4 linked regions of the Sus scrofa genome follow. The protein of the gene in region 1 binds, or shares a complex with, the protein of each later gene. Links are inferred from orthologs where the notes say so. Each region holds a gene or a part of one and is shown in the gene's direction. Other genes may lie near its edges. The genes, in order: PPARG, NRIP1, NFKBIB and CREBBP.

Region 1 (3,193 bases):
ACCAAGAAATGAGAAAAAGAAAAAAAAAACTAAAAGTTAAAAAATGAATAACTAAATTGAAAACCAAGTGCAATAAAAAAAAAACAGTTGATCACTAAAAGCAAAGTTTCGCTTTTTCAAAAAGCAAAAAATAGATAAGCCTTTGGCAAATCAGATTTTTAAGTGAGAATACACAAGAAGCCTTCAGTTAAAGGGAGGTATAAATAAAAATAAAAGAGGCTATCTTGTACAAATCCATTCCAATATAAATTACTAAAATTTTACTTTGTAAGTAGTAAAAAGCCTGAATAAATTAAAAGCTATAGGAGGAAAAGTAAAGATACTCAAAGATTTACCACCAGGCTCAAATGGTTCTGCAAATGAATTCCAAAAAAAACCATCAAGGACTAGATCATCACTACATAGAAACAGAAGGAAAACTTCTCAACTCAGTCTGTAAGGCTAGTTAATATTTATTACCAAAACAGGCAAAGGATGGCACAAAAGAAGACGACTCTGGACCACTATCCCAATTTTAAAAACCCTAAATAAAATATATAGCAAATGAATGCAAGGGTATAAGAAAATCTATTAATATAATTCACTACACTAGCTTAAGATAAAACTATATGGTCAACATTTTAGGTAGAAAAACTTGAAAGCATTTGATGAAATGCAACAACATTCCTAACTAAAATTAAAACCTTTAAAACTCTGGGAGAATCTGGAGAAAAACATATCCACCATACTCTAGTAAATACCATACTTGTGGTAAACCATTAGAAGCATTTCCTTCAAGCTTAGGAATAAAATAAGAATGCTTCCCAGTACTGCTACTATTTACCGTATTAGCATTATTAGCCAATGCAGTATGGCAAAAAAAAGAAATGAGAACTATAAACACTAGAAAAAAAGAAATAAATAAAACTTATGAACAAAACAAATAATAAAAATATGATTATTTGCAGATATAATTGTCTATCCAAAAAATAATTTTTTTAACCCATGATACAAACTGTTTGATTTGAGAAGAGTTTAGGAAATTGGAATAGATTCAGTATAATAAAACCTAACTTTTTTCTAAACATCAGCAGGGATACATTAGAAAATGTAATGAAAAAGAAGTATAGAATACTAGAAAGGAAACAAGTAAAAATAAAGAATACTGGAAAGTATTTAAGAAGAAATCTAAAAAGACCTCCATGAAGAAAAAACATTAAAAATTTAAAAGTAATCTAAGCTCACCATTTAAAAGTTCAAATAAGGAAAGTATAAAGAAGAAAGTGAAATCTACCTGCATCCTCACCTGTCGAAAGAGAAGCCTCTGTTAAAACTTGGTCTATCCTTCCAAAAGTATAACAGAATTTGAAAACTATGTCTCATCTCTTTGAAAAATGCATATGCTATGTTAAGCAAAAAGAAGACAAAGTTTATTTTAAAAGTGTGTTGATCCTGCTGTTTAGCACTGGGAACTCTATCTAGTCACTTACGATGGAGCATGATAATGTGAGAAAAAAGAATGTATATGTGTATGTGTGACTAGGTCACCTTGCTGTACAGTAGAAAATTGACACAACACTGTAAACCAGCTAGAATTGAAAAAATTAAAATCATTATAAAAAAAATGAAAGTGTGTTGAAAGTTGTGGTAAGAAAATAAGATTATAAAACATAGACTCATCAGGAAGGAGCAGAAGTTAAAAATGAGATTTCTGAGTGAGTAGAAATAATGCCAGCAGAAGAATCTGCAATCTGGGAAGTGATTGCCATGCCACCACGTTCTGTCATCTGGTCACACAGATTTAGTCCTACGGGAAAAGAATGGTCTTGGAAAAAGCTCTGATAGTCTTGGGTTTTATTCCTTTTTTCTTATATGCAGTTCTTGCCAACTCTCTGCTTACCTCCCCTGCCCCCATCCTATTTTAGAACCAAAACAAAACCAACAAAAAGTCATTGGCCAGAGAATTTTATACCTAAACCTCCTGTTCTGTCTTCCATTTCTGCTCCCCCAGACCGCCCAGGTTTGCTGAATGTGAAGCCCATCGAGGACATTCAAGACAATTTGCTGCAAGCCTTGGAGCTGCAGCTCAAGTTGAACCACCCAGAGTCCTCCCAGCTCTTTGCTAAGCTGCTCCAGAAAATGACAGACCTCAGACAGATTGTGACAGAGCACGTGCAGCTGCTGCAAGTAATAAAGAAGACAGAGACGGACATGAGCCTTCACCCACTCCTACAGGAAATATACAAGGACTTGTACTAGCAAAGAAGTCCACGTTCACCGACAACATTCTCCTTCTTCCAATTGCACTATTATTTTGGGGGAAAAAAAATCTGACACCTAAAAAAAATTACTGTGAAAAAGCGTTTGAAAAAGAAAAGGTTTTAGAATAATAGATCTATTTTATGCATATTGTTTATAAAGATACATTTACAATTTACTTTTAATATTAAAAATTACCACATCATGAACTTGCTGGATGTCTTTGAAGACTGAGTCTGTTGTGTCTCCCATCACCACTCCCCAGGTATTTTTTTCCTTTTATCTCCTCCCTCTTCCTTCCTTTATTTTTCCTTTTTTCTTTCTTACAGTGTGAAACAATGTGAATGGGATTGCTGATCAATTTCCATTTTCAGTCAAGTTTTTTACTCCATTTACAATGTTTCTGAACCTTGTAACTGTTTTAAAAATCACAACTAAGCGAGGAATTTCAGGACTGAAAACTACTCAGAGCATGTGTTTCTTAACCTGGATGGACTAATGTTGACCATGTCCCTAGGCTTACCAAGAATTCAGTCTTCTTCCCCAGCCCCAATCAAGATTTTCACTCACCAACAGCAGCCCTCTAACAGGACACCAAGGCACAGACAGATACCCACTGGAGGGTATTAACTGCTAGATGCTGTAACACAAGTGGTATAAGATGTGGCACCTGCCAAAAAGAACTTATTATTGAATTGAGGGGGGAAAAAAAGATTAATTTTTCTCACAAACAGATTAATATGTACAGTATAATCCTGTGCCAAATGTATGGTTCAGACTCCAAGTGCTCTGAGTTCAAAGTAAAGATTAAGAAGATTGGAAAAGTCTTGAGTGATCATAAATTCATTCAAGTGGGCCTCAAAGGATGCGTTTTACTTGAGATAGGTAGAGAGTTGGAGAGAAGACATTCTAGGAAAGCAAAACCACAGAAACAATAGCAAAAGGAAACAAAAGC
Region 2 (4,469 bases), about 110 Mb from region 1:
AAGAGTTTGTAATAGTAGAGTCTGAGTGAATTCCAGCCTTAAGTAGTCTCGGAATTTCTGCTTTCTGAGGTATTCCAATTTTCTGCTAGAATGGTGGTAGGTGTTGCCTACCTGCACCCCAGGGGAGTGCACCTAGAATAGCTTTTCAGTAACTACTATCTTTGAGTTACAGGTTGATCTTATTAAAAAATGAGTTTCGGAGTTCCCGTCATGGCTCAGTGGTTAACGAACCCGACGAGGAACCATGAGGTTTTGGGTTCGATCCCTGGCCTTGCTCAGTGGGTTGAGGATCCAGCATTGCCGTGAGCTGTGGTGTAGGTTGCAGATGAAGCTCGTAGCCCGAGTTGCTGTGGCTCTGGTGTAGGCCGGCACCTACAGCTCTGATTAGACCCCTAGCCTCAGAACCTCCATATGCTACAGGAGCAGCCCTAGAAAAGGCAAAAAGACAAAAAAAAAAAAAAAAAAAAAAAAGAGTTTCTATGAAAAGCTCTTTCTTGCCTCATATAATTGGTTTTGTTTATAGAATATTCTTTTCAAAGAGGTTAATGAGAAATAACCATTTGAACTTTGAATTTCTCTTCAAATCTCTTCTAAATTTGTTTCTTGCCAACTTTTCTACAGGATGATATGATGACTTAGTATGTGTGTGTGTGTATATATATATATATATGTATAGTTATAGGTTTTTTTAAGATTTTACTTCTATTATAGTTGATTTATAATGTTCTGTCAGTTTCTGCTATTATAGTTTTATGTGCTCTATACTAACCACATTTTCTAAACCAAAAATTAATGCAGTACCCAAAAACATTTTTTAAATAATGACTTTTATTTTTAAATCCTTTAAATTTTTTTCAAATCACATAATATTTTAATTTATCTGTAATTATTGATAACAAGGTCATACTCAAAGAAATAGCATGGGCAGGGGGAGGAGTATTTTATATTAGGAACATTCTAGAAACTTAGGATGGTAGGCTTATCTGTAACCTGTATTCTGCATCTGCTAGGAGTGCACCTTATTTTACAAGTTCTACATGGAGCACAGATGTAAGAATTTTAAGACAGACGCATTCAAACTTTGCTCGACCTAAATGGGTTTTGTTTTTAATAAGTCTCGGTAAGAACTATGGGTGAATAAGCCTGTGATTTTATGTAAATGTGTATTAACTAAGACTATCACAGTTTGCATGCCCCTTCAGAAGAATCTTACACTTGTTAGGGCTTCCAATTCTTTGAAAACAGAAATTCTCCAAATTCTTTTGGGGATGGCTGATGTTTAGAGGATGATGTCAGAAGCGTTGTGTCGGCCTCAACCTCACATCCAACTCATTAGATGAGTCCATGTCACATGGATCTCTTCTCCTTTTTCCTCTTGTTCCTTCATAAGCTCTGAGTAATGTAAGGAAGCTAGAACTAGCCCCTTGTACAGCTGCAGTGCTATAGGGAGACGACTTAGCATCACATCACTTTGCAGAAAGATGTTTATGAAAATTCAAAAACTTAATGGGCTTTGGAAGACAGTTGTATAACATTAAAGTATTTTCTCTGATTGGATCCTTTTCACGATATGAAATTAATTAATCCATAAGATTTCCAGTAGAGATTTCCAATTTAATAGGAATGGCAATAAAATAAATTACTGAAGAAGCATCTATAATGCATAAATATGTACATTGCATGTGGGTATATATACGCATATCAGCTTACAAGCGCTAGATTGTTTTGCTTTCACATATCAGAGTACAATTCTAATTCTTCACCTCCTTAACTATTTTTTTCTTTAATTTTTCTAGAACACTGATATTTGCATTTATTGGGGAACAAAAGATGAAGAAGAAGCAGTGTATTCACTAAGGATTCTGCTGCTGCTTCTTACTTGGGAGTTGATCAGCTCTATGGTCGGACTGCACTGGGGTCGGCCTGCCATTTATCTCGCCACTGCCAGCAGGAATCCTGGTCGGAATGTAACAGTACACCTCTGTCTAATTACTATGGAAGGTGATAAACTGACACTCACTTATTAACATTACATCTCATTCACCCAAAAAAAAAACCATTCTTCAAAGTGAATAGAAACCAAGCCCTTGTGAACACTTCTATTGAACATGACTCATGGAGAAGAGCTTGGCTCTGATGTGCACCAGGATTCTATTGTTTTAACTTACCTAGAAGGATTACTAATGCATCAGGCAGCAGAGGGATCAGGTACTGCCGTCGACAAAAAGTCTGCTGGGCGTAATGAAGAAGATCAGAACTTTAACATTTCCGGTAATGCATTTCCCACCTGTCAAAGTAATGGTCCAGTTCTCAATACACACACATATCAGGGATCTGGCATGCTGCATCTCAAAAAAGCCAGGCTATTGCAGTCTTCTGAGGACTGGAATGCAGCGAAGCGGAAGAGGCTGTCTGATTCCATCGTCAATTTAAACGTAAAGAAGGAGGCTTTGCTGGCTGGCATGGTTGACAATGTGCCTAAAGGCAAACAGGATAGCACATTACTGGCCTCTTTGCTTCAGTCATTCAGCTCTAGGCTGCAGACTGTTGCTCTGTCACAACAAATTAGGCAGAGCCTCAAGGAGCAAGGGTATGCCCTCAGTCATGATTCTTTAAAAGTGGAGAAAGATTTAAGGTGCTACGGTGTTGCGTCAAGTCACTTAAAAACATTGTTGAAGAAAAGTAAAGCTAAAGATCAAAAGCCTGATACAAATCTCCCTGACGTAACTAAAAACCTCATCAGAGAGAGGTTCGTAGAGTCACCTCATCATGTTGGACAAAGTGGAACAAAGGTCCTGAGTGAACCTTTGTCATGCGCTGCAAGATTACAAGCTGTTGCAAGCATGGTGGAAAAAAGGGCTAGTCCTGCCACTTCACCCAAACCCAGTGTTGCTTGTAGCCAATTAGCATTACTCCTTTCAAGCGAAGCCCATTTACAGCAGTATTCTCGAGAACATGCTTTAAAAACACAAAATGCAAATCAGGCAGCGAGTGAAAGACTTGCTGCTATGGCCAGATTACAGGAAAATGGCCAGAAGGATGTGGGCAGTTTCCAGGTCTCCAAAGGAGTGTCAGGCCATCTTAATGGCCAGGCAAGAACATCATCAAACAAATTAATGGCTAGCAAAAGTACAACATTTCAAAGTCCAATGGGTCTCGTTCCTTCTTCCCCCAAAAATGCAGGCTATAAGAATTCACTGGAAAGAAACAATATCAAACAAGCTGCTAATAATAGTTTGCTTTTACATCTTCTTAAAAGCCAGACCATACCTAAGCCAATGAACGGACACAGTCACAGTGAGAGAGGAAGCATTTTTGAGGAGAGCAGTACACCTACAACTATTGATGACTACTCAGATAACAATCCCAGTTTTACAGATGATAGCAGTGGTGATGAAAGCTCTTATTCCAACTGTGTGCCCATAGACTTGTCTTGCAAGCACCGAACCGAAAAGCCAGAACCTGACCAGCCTGTTTCTCTAGATAACTTAACTCAGTCCTTACTAAACACTTGGGATCCCAAAGTCCCCGAAGTAGATAACAAAGAAGATCAAGATACCTCAAAGAATTCTAGGCTAAATTCACACCAGAAAGTGACCCTTCTTCAGCTGCTCCTCGGCCATAAGAATGAAGAAAATGTAGAAAGAAACAACAGCCCTCAGGAAGTCCACAGTGATGTGACAAAGTTCAGCACACAGAACTATGCTCGGACCTCTGTCATTGAAAGCCCGGGTACCAACAGGACGACGCCAGTGAGCACTCCACCCCTACTTGCATCGGCCAAAGCCGAGTCTCCCATCAACCTTTCCCAGCATTCTTTGGTCATTAGATGGAATTCCCCACCGTATGCCTGTGGCCCTCCGTCTGAAAAGCCAACAAATGCCACCTCCAACCGCTTGATGGACCTTACAAAGAGCAAAGACTTGCAAGGAGAGAAACCAGTCCAAAACGAAGGTGCACAAAACTCTGCCACGTTCAGTGCCAGCAAGCTGTTAAAAAATTTAGCGCAGTGTGGCATGCAGTCTTCCATGTCAGGGGAAGAGCAGAGACCCAGTAAACAGCTGCTAAGCGTCAACACGGATAAACCTACAGGTGTGATGGAGAGACTCGGTAGCCCTCTGCTCGCAAATAAAACAAACCCAGCTGAAGAAAATAAAGCATTCGGCAGCCACTCAGCCGGCCCTGAGCCCGGACTTTCTGGTTCCGAAATAGAAAATCTGCTTGAAAGGCGCACTGTCCTCCAGTTGCTGCTGGGAAACTCCAACAAAGGGAAGATGGAGAAGAAAGAGAAGATTCCCTTAAGGGAGGGAAGTACTCAGGAACATACAGACCGAGCTTTAAGTGAACAAATATTGATGGTGAAAATAAAATCTGAGCCTTGCGACGACTTCCACGCGCACACCCCGGATGTGCACTCGAGCCCCGATGCTCAGGGCGCCCCATTCTTAGGGATGGCTCCTCCCGTGCAG
Region 3 (5,157 bases), on another chromosome or scaffold:
ATCTGGAAGGCAATGTGCTGGGTACCATGGGGTGCAAACCCATCTCTGCTCCTCTAGCCAAGGGTCAGAGGAAAAGCTATTGAAAAACTCTGTTTCAAATCCCTCATGTGTAAAATGGACACAGTAGGCCTTGCCCCCCACAGGGATGCTGGGAAGATGAGACGCTGCACATAGAGCACGAGACAGAGTACCTGCTGGAGTAAGTACTCAGGAAATGCCAACCATGGGAATAATTAGCGGAGCACCCCAGCCACCTGACCTCTGAGCGCATCTCACTCTCCCGCCTCCCCGTGTTTGCACAAGCCGTACCCTCCGCGTGGGACCCCAATTCGCACCTCACCTAAGAAAATTCTAAGTCACTCTACACTCACTACTGCGAGTCTGTACCTCAACCTGACTCCTAGATCAGCCTGTGGGATTCCTCCAGGGAAAGGACTGGCTGGAATCTGTGGGACTCCACGAAGTTTACTCTGGGCTCCCAAGGTGCCCTGAGCTGCTTTCCTTGTCACCCTACACTTGGCTCTGAGATCTCTTCCATGCGCAGTGCAAAAGAGGTTCAGAAGGGATGGGGTGGGGGGTGGCAAGGAGAGAGGAAGGTTTGGAAGGGCAGGCCGGGGGCTGAGGCTGCACGCCCTCCTCTGACAGTCCCCAGAATCCACCATTCCCCGGGAGGCTGAACCAGGAGGTGGGGGGAGGGACTGGGGCAGGGAGCTCAGGGCCCTGGGGTTCCCATCTCCCCTCTGCCACCTCCCTCCCAGGATGGGGTGTGGGAAGTCCATCTCTCTCCTTCCCGCCACCCTTCCGCCCCATCTCACCTGAGCCTCTTGCACCTTCCCTGTCTGGGTCTCCACAGGGTCTGAGGCTGGGGGGAGGAGGGGGAGCAGACGTGGTTAAGGTGAAGGGAGTGGTTAAGGGGGAAGGAAGGGCTTCAAATTAGTGGGGCAGAGGGATCAAGAAAACTCACCAACCTGGTCATACCGGGTGGGGTGGGGGTGTAAAATGGAAGTGGAGGAGGGCGGCAATGGGGAAAAGCGGACCTTATCAGTGTGCAGACGGCTGGGAGGAGAGGTTAGCGAGGGACAAAGAGGCCGGGACAGGAAGGTTTAGGCGAGGGAAGAGAAAGTAAAGCACGCCCGGCATGGAGGAAGACTTAGGAGGAGTTAGGAAGGGTGTAGTAGTGTGAGAGTGTGTGTCATTAGGTTTACAAGCAGTGGGAAGCCATAGAAAGGAGAGAAGACATACTCTGCCTGTTGGCAGGTTTGGGAGAAGAGGTGCAGAGTGTGTGTGTGTGTGTGGTGTGTGTGTGTGTGTGTGTCGGGCAGGGTGGGGTTGGTTTCGGAGAAAAAGGAAGCAATAGGAGGGGACCCTGGCATCCTACAGTTGCTACTAACAACCAGGTACCCTTAGCAACCAGGACCGCGGCATCTTAAGTCCCTAGCAACGAGGGTCCTTGGCAACTAAGGTGCGAGAAACATGTGATCATTAGTAACTTGGGGGAAGTGGCAAACGGACCCTTAAAACCTAGCGACCCAGAAAGCCACCAATCTAGCAATATGGATCACTTGGCAACTGCCCCCGGAATCCCATTTTCCCCCCCATGCAACCCCCATCTCCTGCCCCACCAAGCCTGCCCTCGGGCCCCGGGGCCTACGACCCTCAGCTAGGCCCCGGTGCAGCCCTGCCCTCCCACCGGGGTCCCCGACTCACGATCCGGCTCGGCCATGGGCGCGGGGCGGGGGCCCTCGGGACTGTCACCGACTGCTCTGTCCCGTGACGGCACCGGAAACAGGAGGGGGCCGAGACAAGGCAGAGAACTACAACTCCCAGCAGCCATCGCGATCGCATATAATGCTCTGCACCGCGTACGGAGCGCGCCCCCACGCAAAGGCCGGACTACGAGTCCCAGAGGGCTCCACGTCCACAGCCATGCTGGTAAAGGACTCCGGGAAAGTGTGGGAAAAGGTAGAACGCCGTAGTCCACCTGAGTGCTCTGATTGGTCATCATGTGGCATGGGGGCGGGGCGTGTACTACTTAGCCCACCCTGATTGGATGAGTCAGGGGGGCGTGTTGGGGAATTCCCCGCAGGGCGGAAGCTCGAGAATTCCAGGCAGAGCCCAGCGACAGGCGGGCTGCCGCTGGGGGCCCCTGAGGCTTCGGGGGCCATGGCTGGGGTTGCGTGCTTGGGGAAAGCTGCGGACACCGATGAATGGTGCGACAGCGGCTTGGGCTCTCTGGGTCCGGACGCAGCGGCCCCCGGAGGACCAGGCCTAGGCGCGGAGCTGGGTCCGGGACTATCGTGGGCGCCCCTCGTCTTCGGCTACGTCACTGAGGATGGCGACACGTGAGTGAACCTTAGACTGACAAATCGGGCCCCAGGGTCCCACATCTCCAATCCTGACTTCCCAACCTTTCAATCCTAAATCTGTCTTTTGATGCTTGACTTCCTGACCCCAAGACTGGCCTCTGATAAAACCAACTTCTTATCTAATTTTGATCCTAACCCAATAATGTCTGGCCTTCCTTTCTTGAACTGATTCTCAGAGTTATGCGTTCATTGATCAGACCCACATTCAGTGATCGATTCCACATCCAAAACTCGATTTGACCTTCCTGACCCCAGTCCTTAGCCCTCTGTTAGAACTGTAGTTCAGACAGGCTCCTCCTGACCTTTATCCTCCAAATATGATCTTTGGTCCTCAGCGCCTAACTTACATGAGCCTTAGATTTTATTTCGAAATTAATACTTGGCTTTTGACTCCAGGATCCCACCTTCTGAACTCTGATCTTCAAAGCTTACATTCAAAGAGAAAATGGAAACTACATAACAGCAGGAATTCATCTATTAAACAAATAATCCAACACCTTCGACTTTCCAGGAACTGTTTTAGGTGTGGCCTAAAGGCAGGGAGGAAAGCCCAAAAAACATTTGTCTTGTGGAGCATACATTCTAGTGGGGGTATATAGACAGAAGGGCAGATAGACTGACAGGGAGGGAGGAAGGGTAGGAGGAAGAAAAAGGAAAGAAAAGGAGAGAGAAGGAAAGAGAAAAAAAGATACACAGACCTAAAGTAAGAAAGGGAGAGAAAGAAGAAAGGCAGGAAGAAACGAAGACAAAAATTAAAAAAAAAAAGAAAAATAGCATGTCAGACGTTAAGAAGTTCTTTGGAGAAAAATAAAGCAGGGAAGTGAGACAAGTAGATTATCTGGGGAGAACATTGCACATAGAGGGAAAAACAGTTGTAAAGGCCCAATTGAGGGAATGTACCTGGGGTTTTTGAGTATCGTGTTTACCGCTGTATCCCCAGTGACCCAGCAGCCCCTGACCCATAGGAGGCACTCAGGAAACAGTGATCTTCTCAAACAACCAGCTGTGGTTTCATTTATTTTCTCTTTTTCTCTCTTTTTGCTTTCTATTTTGTTGATCTCTGTTCTGACTTATTTACTTTCTTCTCTTATTTGGGGTTTAATTTCTTCTTTTTCTCGTTTTTTAAGATGGAAGCTGAGGTCATTGATTTGAGACTCTTTTTTTTTTTTTTTTTTACGCATATAAGTGATTCATGCTGTAAATTTCCCGGAGTAGTGCTTTAGCAGTATCTCACCAATTCTGATGTGCTGTGTCGTTTTTTGTCATTTTGTTTTGTTTTGCTTTTAAGGCCTACCTGCGACATACGGAAGTTCCCAGGCTGGGGTCAAATCGAAGATGCAGCTGCCGGCCTACACCGCAGCCACCGCAATGTGGGATCTGAGCCCTATGTGCGACTTAGACCACAGCTTATGGCAGTGCCAGATCTTTAACCCAGTGATCCGGGCCAGGGATTGACCACATCCTCATGGATACTGGTTGTGTTCGTTAACCACTGAGTCACAACAGGAATTCCATGATGTGTAGTGTTTTTATTTAATGCAATATACTTTCTAATTTCTTTTTTGATTTCTTCTTTGGTCATCGGATTCTTCAGAAGTATGTTATTCAGTTTCCATATCACAGGCATCTTTCTTTCATTGGCTTTTAGTTTAATTCTGTTGGGGATGGAGAGCCTAGCATGACTTGAATCCTTTCAGACTTTTTGAGACTTGTTTTAGGGCCAAGAATATAATGTGTGCATTTGAAAGAATGTGTATTCTGCTCTGGTTGGGTGTAGTGTTCTCCGAGTGTCAGTGTTTCCCTGGTTCTTTTGTTGCTCAAGTCTAGATTTCTACTTGTTCTGTCAATTATTGAGAGCCGGGTATTGAAATCTTCAACAATAATTGTGGATTCGTGGCTTTCCTTGTTGTGCTATCAGATTTTGCTTTGTGTAATTTGATGCTCTATTATTAGGGGCACAAATATTTAGGATTATTAAGTCCTCTTGTTTCACTGACCTCTTTGTCGTTATGAAATAACCTTCTCTAGCCCTGGTAATGCTTCTTGCTCTGAAATCTACTCTGATATTAAAATACTTACTTCTGTTTTCTTTTGAATGACTGGTGTTACCATGGAATATCTTTTTATACCCTTTAATTTTAACCTATTTTAAAATTTATATTTCAAGAGTGTTACAGGCAGCATATAGTGGGTTTTGCTTTTTTTTTTTTTTTTTTGGCTGTGCCTGTGGAAGTTCCCGAGCCAGCAACTCAACTCGAGCCACAGCAGTGTGGCACAATGACAGTGCTGGATCCTGAATCTGCTGCACCACAAGAGAACTCGAGGTTTACTTTTTTATTCATTCTGACAGTTTCTGTCTTTTAATTGCAGTGTTTAGACTGTTTGCATTTAACTTAATTATTGAAATGGTTATGTTTATCTTGTTTTTAGCTTTTTTGCTTATCTCTTTTACCTTTTTCCTCTTTTTCTGCCTTTTAGAATGAGCAAATTTTGTTCCATTGTGTTTCTTTTGTTGGCTTATTAGCTCTAACTCTTTGTTTTTTATTTTCGTGGTTGCTCTGAAAGACCAATAGTTGGCAAACTGGTTTCCAGACAAAGTCCAGCCAGCTACCTGCTTTTGCATGGCTGTGAGCTAAGAATAGTTTTTACATTTTCAAATGGTTAGAAAAAAATCAAAAGAAGAAAAGCATTTCGTGGCAAGTGAAAATTATATGAAATTCAAATTTCAGACTCCATAAAGTAAGCTGTTGGAATCCAGCCATACCCATTTATTTATACATCACCAGTGGAT
Region 4 (4,939 bases), on another chromosome or scaffold:
TGGTGTAGATTGCAGACGCGGCTCGGATCCCGTGTTGCTGTGGCTCTGGCGTAGGCTGGTGGCTACGGCTCCGATTCAACCCCTAGCCTGGGAACCTCCATATGCCCCCCAAAAAAATAGCAAAAAGAAAAAAAAAAAAAGACTCTGGGGCAGTGGAACGAGGAGGAAGAGCCATTTGTCCAGGTAAAGGATCTGGGGAGGCAGGTTGCTTGGTGGGTGGAGGGAGAGGAGGACTCACAGAATTCTGGCTTAGGAAACAAACAGGTCGTTGGTGATACCCTTCAGATAAAGACGTGGGATGAAGCCCAGGCAAATTGTGAGAAGCAGATAATGAGCTGAGATGTGTGAACACCTTAGATTTGTGTGTAACTGTCCTGCGGATAGTGGGCACGCGGGCGGGCCTCCGGGGGAACCTCACACCTGACTGCAGCACCTGCGGGGTCCAGATGGTTGCGTAGGGCACGAGGGCCCTAAGCCCTGATGTAATGGGGCCTTCTGGGCCCGGCGCAGACTGAGTGTGCTTGGCTGGGAAGCAGCGCTCACCACTTCCCGGTGCAGGTGAGGGTGTCGGACCTGGGGCCCCTATTGCATCAGGCTGGGGAACAAGGGCTCAGGAGTCCTGCGTCCTCCTCACTTCACGTGGAGGCCTTCGAATCTCGGCCCTGCCACTTCCTGCCTCAGTTTCCCCATCTGCACTCGCTCACGGGCGGACCCAAGAGCAGTCTGTAACCTGCAGAGGCCACGACACAACGCTGGCATCCGGCGGGGAGAAGCTGCCAGCCCTGGTCACCGAGAAGGGTCGCGGAGCAGGGGCGCGGGGAGCCGGGACTGGGCAGAGTCGCCTGCGGGACGGGCAGGCCCGGGCGGCGCCAACTCCGCGCCTGGGGGCCCGGCTTGCTGCCAGGCCGCAGCCAGACCCCTCGCCGCCCAGTCGCCGTCAGAACAAAAGTGGCGGCGGTGCCCGGCGCCCGGCGCCCCGCAGGCCCGGCCCCCGCCGGGCAGTCTAGCCGCCCCGCCACTCGGCCGCACGACGTACGGCAGCCGCGCCTTCGGCCCTTTCCGTCCGAACGCGCTCGGCTCTTTCCGCTGCGGCCGGCGCAGGTGGAGGGGGCGGGGCGGGGGCCGTGCGTGGTGACGCCGCGGGGGGGGGTGACGCACCGGCGTGCCCCGCCCCCTCCCCCTCCCCGTTCAGGCTCTGGAAAGAGAAGAAAAAAAACTTTCTTTTTTTTTTAATTGAGGAATCAACAGCCGCCATCTTGTCGCGGACCCGACCGGGGCTTCGAGCGCGATCTACTCGGCCCCGCCGGTCCCGGGCCCCACAACCGCCCGCGCACCCCGCTCCGCCCGGCCGGCCCGCTCCGCCTGGCCCTCGGCGCCCGCTCCGGCGGCCCCGCTCGCCTCTCGGCTCGGCCTCCCGGAGCCGCGGCGGCGGCGGCGGCGGCGGCGGCAGCGGCGGCGGCGGCGGCGGCGGAACGGGGGGTGGGGGGGCCGCGGCGGCGGCGGCGGCGGCGGCCCCGCTTCGCTCATTGTTTTTCCTCGCGGCGGCGGCGGCGGCGGCGGGCCGCGGGCAGGGAGCGGAGCCCGGAGCCCCCCGGTCGTCGGGCCGCGAGCGAATTAATTAAGTGGGGCGCGGGGGGGGAGCGAGGCGGCGGCGCGGCGGCGGCACCATGTTCCCGGGGACTGCCTGAGCCGCCCGGCCGGGCGCCGTCGCTGCCAGCCGGGCCCGGGGGGCCGCCGGGCCGCCGGGGCGCCCCCGCCGCGGAGTGTCGCGCTCGGGAGGCGGGCAGGGGATGAGGGGGCCGCGGCCGGCGGCGGCGGCGGCGGCGGCGGCCGGGGGCGGGCGGTGAGCGCTGCGGGGCGCTGTTGCTGTGGCTGAGATTTGGCCGCCGCCTCCCCCACCCGGCCCTGCGCCCTCCCTCTCCCTCGGCGCTCGCTCGCGACTCGCGGCTCGCGCTCGCTCTCCCCTCGCAGCCGGCCGGGGCCGGCGCCGACCCCCGCCCCGGAGCCCTCGCCGGCCCCGCCGCCCGCGCTCGGGGCTGTTTTCGCGAGCAGGTGAAAATGGCCGAGAACTTGCTGGACGGACCGCCCAACCCCAAACGAGCCAAACTCAGCTCGCCCGGCTTCTCTGCGAATGACAGCACAGGTGAGTAGGGGGCCGGGCGGGAACAGGGGCCCCGGGGGTCGCTGACAGCCCTGCCCGGAGGTGAGTGCCCCCGGGGGACCCGAACTCGAGGGCGGGCGTGCGGGGCCCTTTCCCCGGGACCCCGGCCGCGGAGGGGGAAGTTTGTCGGAAGACTGCCTGGGGCCCGAGTGGGGCGGCACATGCCCGGTGCGCTCGCATAGCCCGGAGTTGGCGAGCCCTCCTCGCGTGGAGCCCGAGTGGTACTTCCAGGGGGGAAAAGTAAAGCGGAGCGTGTTTGTTCTGCGTGGTGAGTCCCTTTGCCACCCTCTGCCGCCGTGGGTCGACACACGCGTGGCTGTTTGAAGGGATGACAGCGGAGGGTGCGTTTGCCAGTGAGGGAAGGAAAGCGTGCAGCCCAAAGGGGACCCGAAATGTTTTCTGAATTGGTAGCACATTCACAAGGCAACCAGAAGACACGCAGAGCTGCAGCCAGCCTCTTGAGTTACGACTTAGAAGTTTTTTGGAATGTGCTGCTTGGGAAAAATGCTTAGTAGTTACTTTGAAAACTCTTGTTGTTGGTCTCCTGAGCTATCCCATTTTTCACAGCCCCAAACTTCGGAAGACGTCCTAAGTGGGGTGTTTAATTTCAAGACTGTAACTTCGGAAGAAAGTTAAATAGCAGATTGATCCGGGCTGCAATCTGCAAGTGAGCTTGTGTTGCTTTTACAGTGAAGATGTAAGAAGAAAAAATATGTTAAGGAATGGGGGAATTACAGTCTTCCTCCCTAGTTTTTTCGGTAGGATACTGAATAAATTCACTGTTTTAAACATCTTCCCTGGAAACTTTCTTAGGTGATCACATCAATTACCTAAGGGAAGTGTTTTAGTTTTCTATTCATTTATAGTTTTAGGTTCTTCTGGGCTGGTTCATGGTAGCGTTATGAACTAGTTGTATTTCCTCTTTCAGAGCTCTCCTTTGCGTTAAAAACTTGTGCGCTTCGGTGAACGATTTGATCCCCAGCGCAGCTTGCATTTCTCCACTGTGATCTTGCAGTAGCAGCATCTGTAAATCAGTTTATAATGAATGGGTCAGAATTGAATTATATTGCTGCAGCAGTGCCTTCAGATTTGCAGTAGACACAGCTGTTCAGCTTGTGCAAACATTTCTGTGACTGACCACTAGCGTTTTTCTGCTAGTGGTCTAAAAATCTATTGCTATTGTTGGAACAAAACTTGAGTTTTGTGGCTGCAGTTTTACTACAATTCCTAGACTATTTTTTAATGTAGAATTGAGAGAAAGTGTAAAAAAAAAATCATGAGATTCTTGTCTAGTTGAAATGAAATTTGTTGAAACAGTTGGAGAAGAGTCAGTTAAGTCTCATGGTGTATAAAAGTCACCAATAATACTCTTCTTTAAAAAAAAAAAACTGATGAAGTGTTGTGTTTGATGTTAATTTTGTAAAATCAGCTTATCTGAAATGAGAAATGTGAGAACAACCATGATTTCAATGCTCTGATTTTACTGCATTTAAAAAACTCTGATTTTACTGCAGAATAGCTCATCTTGGCTCCATTAATCTTGGCATGTTTGAGTGAAAAATCTTTAATCATATGAAATATAGATCATACTGGACAAGTTTGCTTTGAAGCTTGTCCTCTGAAACGTAACTTTTGAATGGCTTTGCAGCTTTGCTGTTGTTGATTGAGGTTATTTTAGACTTTGCTTTTTATACAGAGGGACAAGGGAGTTACGTGAGACGTAGCAGAAAGGCTTGTCCCACTGTAAACTTGTACCTCTTTTCAAGATGGCACCCAAAGGACTGGCTCTTGGGGCACTTCTGTTATTGGATGGTCAGATATCTACTTAATGTGTGGCTGATCACAGTAAAATTTATCAGAAAGGGTGGATTTTGACCACTTTTTTCCCTTTCTAATTTTGATCCTTTTGAGGCACTGGAGCTCTTTTGCTTTTCCAAATGTGGAACAAAAAAGTCAGTTTTAACAGCTCTGTTTAAATAATCCAAAGAATAAATTCACCTTTATATGTGTGTCGGGTCCTTGGTGGCGCGTTCGGCACCATCATGTCCCTGTGAGAGGGTCTCTTAGTGTCAGGGCCTTGGAAGGGCCCTCACTGAGCACATGAAGCAAGGTACAGCCTTGTCTCCCGTAACTGCTGGTCTGAAGCAGGGCTTAAGGATGTCTGTCAAGGCAAAGCAAGGACTAAAGGGATTAGATTACACGCAGTCAAAGGATCGAAGGCATTTTGTTAAATGGAAACATGGGGAGAGACCTGAGAATAACATTCTCGAGAGACTCAGCCTCATTTAAATGAGGAGATATGGGTTTGTGGCTTCTAGGATAGAATTGGACCGGGCAGGAGTTCCCGTCGTGGCGCAGTGGTTAACGAATCCAACTAGGAACCATGAGGTTGCGGATTCGGTCCCTGCCCTTGCTCAGTAGGTTGACGATCCGGCATTGCCGTGAGCTGTGGTGTAGGTCGCAGACGCGGCTCGGATCCCGAGTTGCTCTGGCTCTGGTGTAGGCCGGCGGCTGCAGCTCCAATTAGACCCCTAGCCTGGGAACCTCCATATGCCGCAGAAGTGGCCCAAAGAAATAGCAAAAAGAAAAAAAAAAAAAAAGAATTGGACCGGGCAGAGCCATGCCTATTCGTTGCTCATGTGATGAAATTTGAGGGAGGAGAGCTCTGTGGCTGGGAAGAGCTGAGGCGTTAGGAGTAGAAGGAGGCTCTGATGGCCTGAGAAGCTGGGGTGACTTGGACTGTCACTGTCCAGGGCATGTCTTTGGGGTCTGGGGGCA

The links.
Region 2: the proteins of PPARG (region 1) and NRIP1 are in contact, whole or in part, in a crystal structure (PDB 9CWN), measured with the Homo sapiens proteins. The link is inferred for Sus scrofa from reciprocal best matches to the Homo sapiens genes PPARG and NRIP1. Residues at the interface, in NP_056953.2 of Homo sapiens: Val321, Gln322, Thr325, Lys329, Phe334, Leu339, Gln342, Val343, Leu346, Lys347, Pro495, Leu496, Glu499, Ile500, Lys502; in NP_001426204.1 of Homo sapiens: Ser130, Thr131, Leu132, Leu133, Ala134, Leu136, Leu137, Ser139.
Region 3: the proteins of PPARG (region 1) and NFKBIB are in contact, whole or in part, in a crystal structure (PDB 9CK0), measured with the Homo sapiens proteins. The link is inferred for Sus scrofa from reciprocal best matches to the Homo sapiens genes PPARG and NFKBIB. Residues at the interface, in NP_056953.2 of Homo sapiens: Gln322, Thr325, Lys329, Phe334, Leu339, Gln342, Val343, Leu346, Lys347, Leu496, Glu499, Ile500; in NP_002494.2 of Homo sapiens: Asn286, Pro287, Ile288, Leu289, Ala290, Leu292, Leu293, Arg294, Ala295.
Region 4: the proteins of PPARG (region 1) and CREBBP are in contact, whole or in part, in a crystal structure (PDB 7RLE), measured with the Homo sapiens proteins. The link is inferred for Sus scrofa from reciprocal best matches to the Homo sapiens genes PPARG and CREBBP. Residues at the interface, in NP_056953.2 of Homo sapiens: Val321, Gln322, Thr325, Glu326, Lys329, Phe334, Val335, Leu339, Asn340, Gln342, Val343, Thr344, Leu346, Lys347, Leu496, Glu499, Ile500, Lys502; in NP_004371.2 of Homo sapiens: Asp62, Ala63, Ala64, Lys66, His67, Lys68, Gln69, Leu70, Ser71, Leu73, Leu74, Arg75.

The regions. Positions count from the first base shown.
Region 1 is NC_010455.5:68,431,501-68,434,693, forward strand, and holds the end of PPARG (peroxisome proliferator-activated receptor gamma), read left to right. Parts: intron 1-1,990; coding exon 1,991-2,238; 3' UTR 2,239-2,447; downstream 2,448-3,193. UniProt on the Homo sapiens protein: Nuclear receptor that binds peroxisome proliferators such as hypolipidemic drugs and fatty acids.
Region 2 is NC_010455.5:179,828,517-179,832,985, reverse strand, and holds part of NRIP1 (nuclear receptor-interacting protein 1), read left to right. Parts: intron 1-1,796; 5' UTR 1,797-2,108; coding exon 2,109-4,469. UniProt on the Homo sapiens protein: Modulates transcriptional activation by steroid receptors such as NR3C1, NR3C2 and ESR1. Also modulates transcriptional repression by nuclear hormone receptors.
Region 3 is NC_010448.4:47,701,578-47,706,734, forward strand, and holds the start of NFKBIB (NF-kappa-B inhibitor beta), read left to right. Parts: upstream 1-2,066; 5' UTR 2,067-2,163; coding exon 2,164-2,342; intron 2,343-5,157. Other genes in the region: SIRT2 (NAD-dependent protein deacetylase sirtuin-2), read right to left, coding at 816-862, 1,708-1,723. UniProt on the Homo sapiens protein: Inhibits NF-kappa-B by complexing with and trapping it in the cytoplasm.
Region 4 is NC_010445.4:38,386,510-38,391,448, forward strand, and holds the start of CREBBP (CREB-binding protein), read left to right. Parts: upstream 1-1,856; 5' UTR 1,857-2,058; coding exon 2,059-2,143; intron 2,144-4,939. UniProt on the Homo sapiens protein: Acetylates histones, giving a specific tag for transcriptional activation. Mediates acetylation of histone H3 at 'Lys-18' and 'Lys-27' (H3K18ac and H3K27ac, respectively).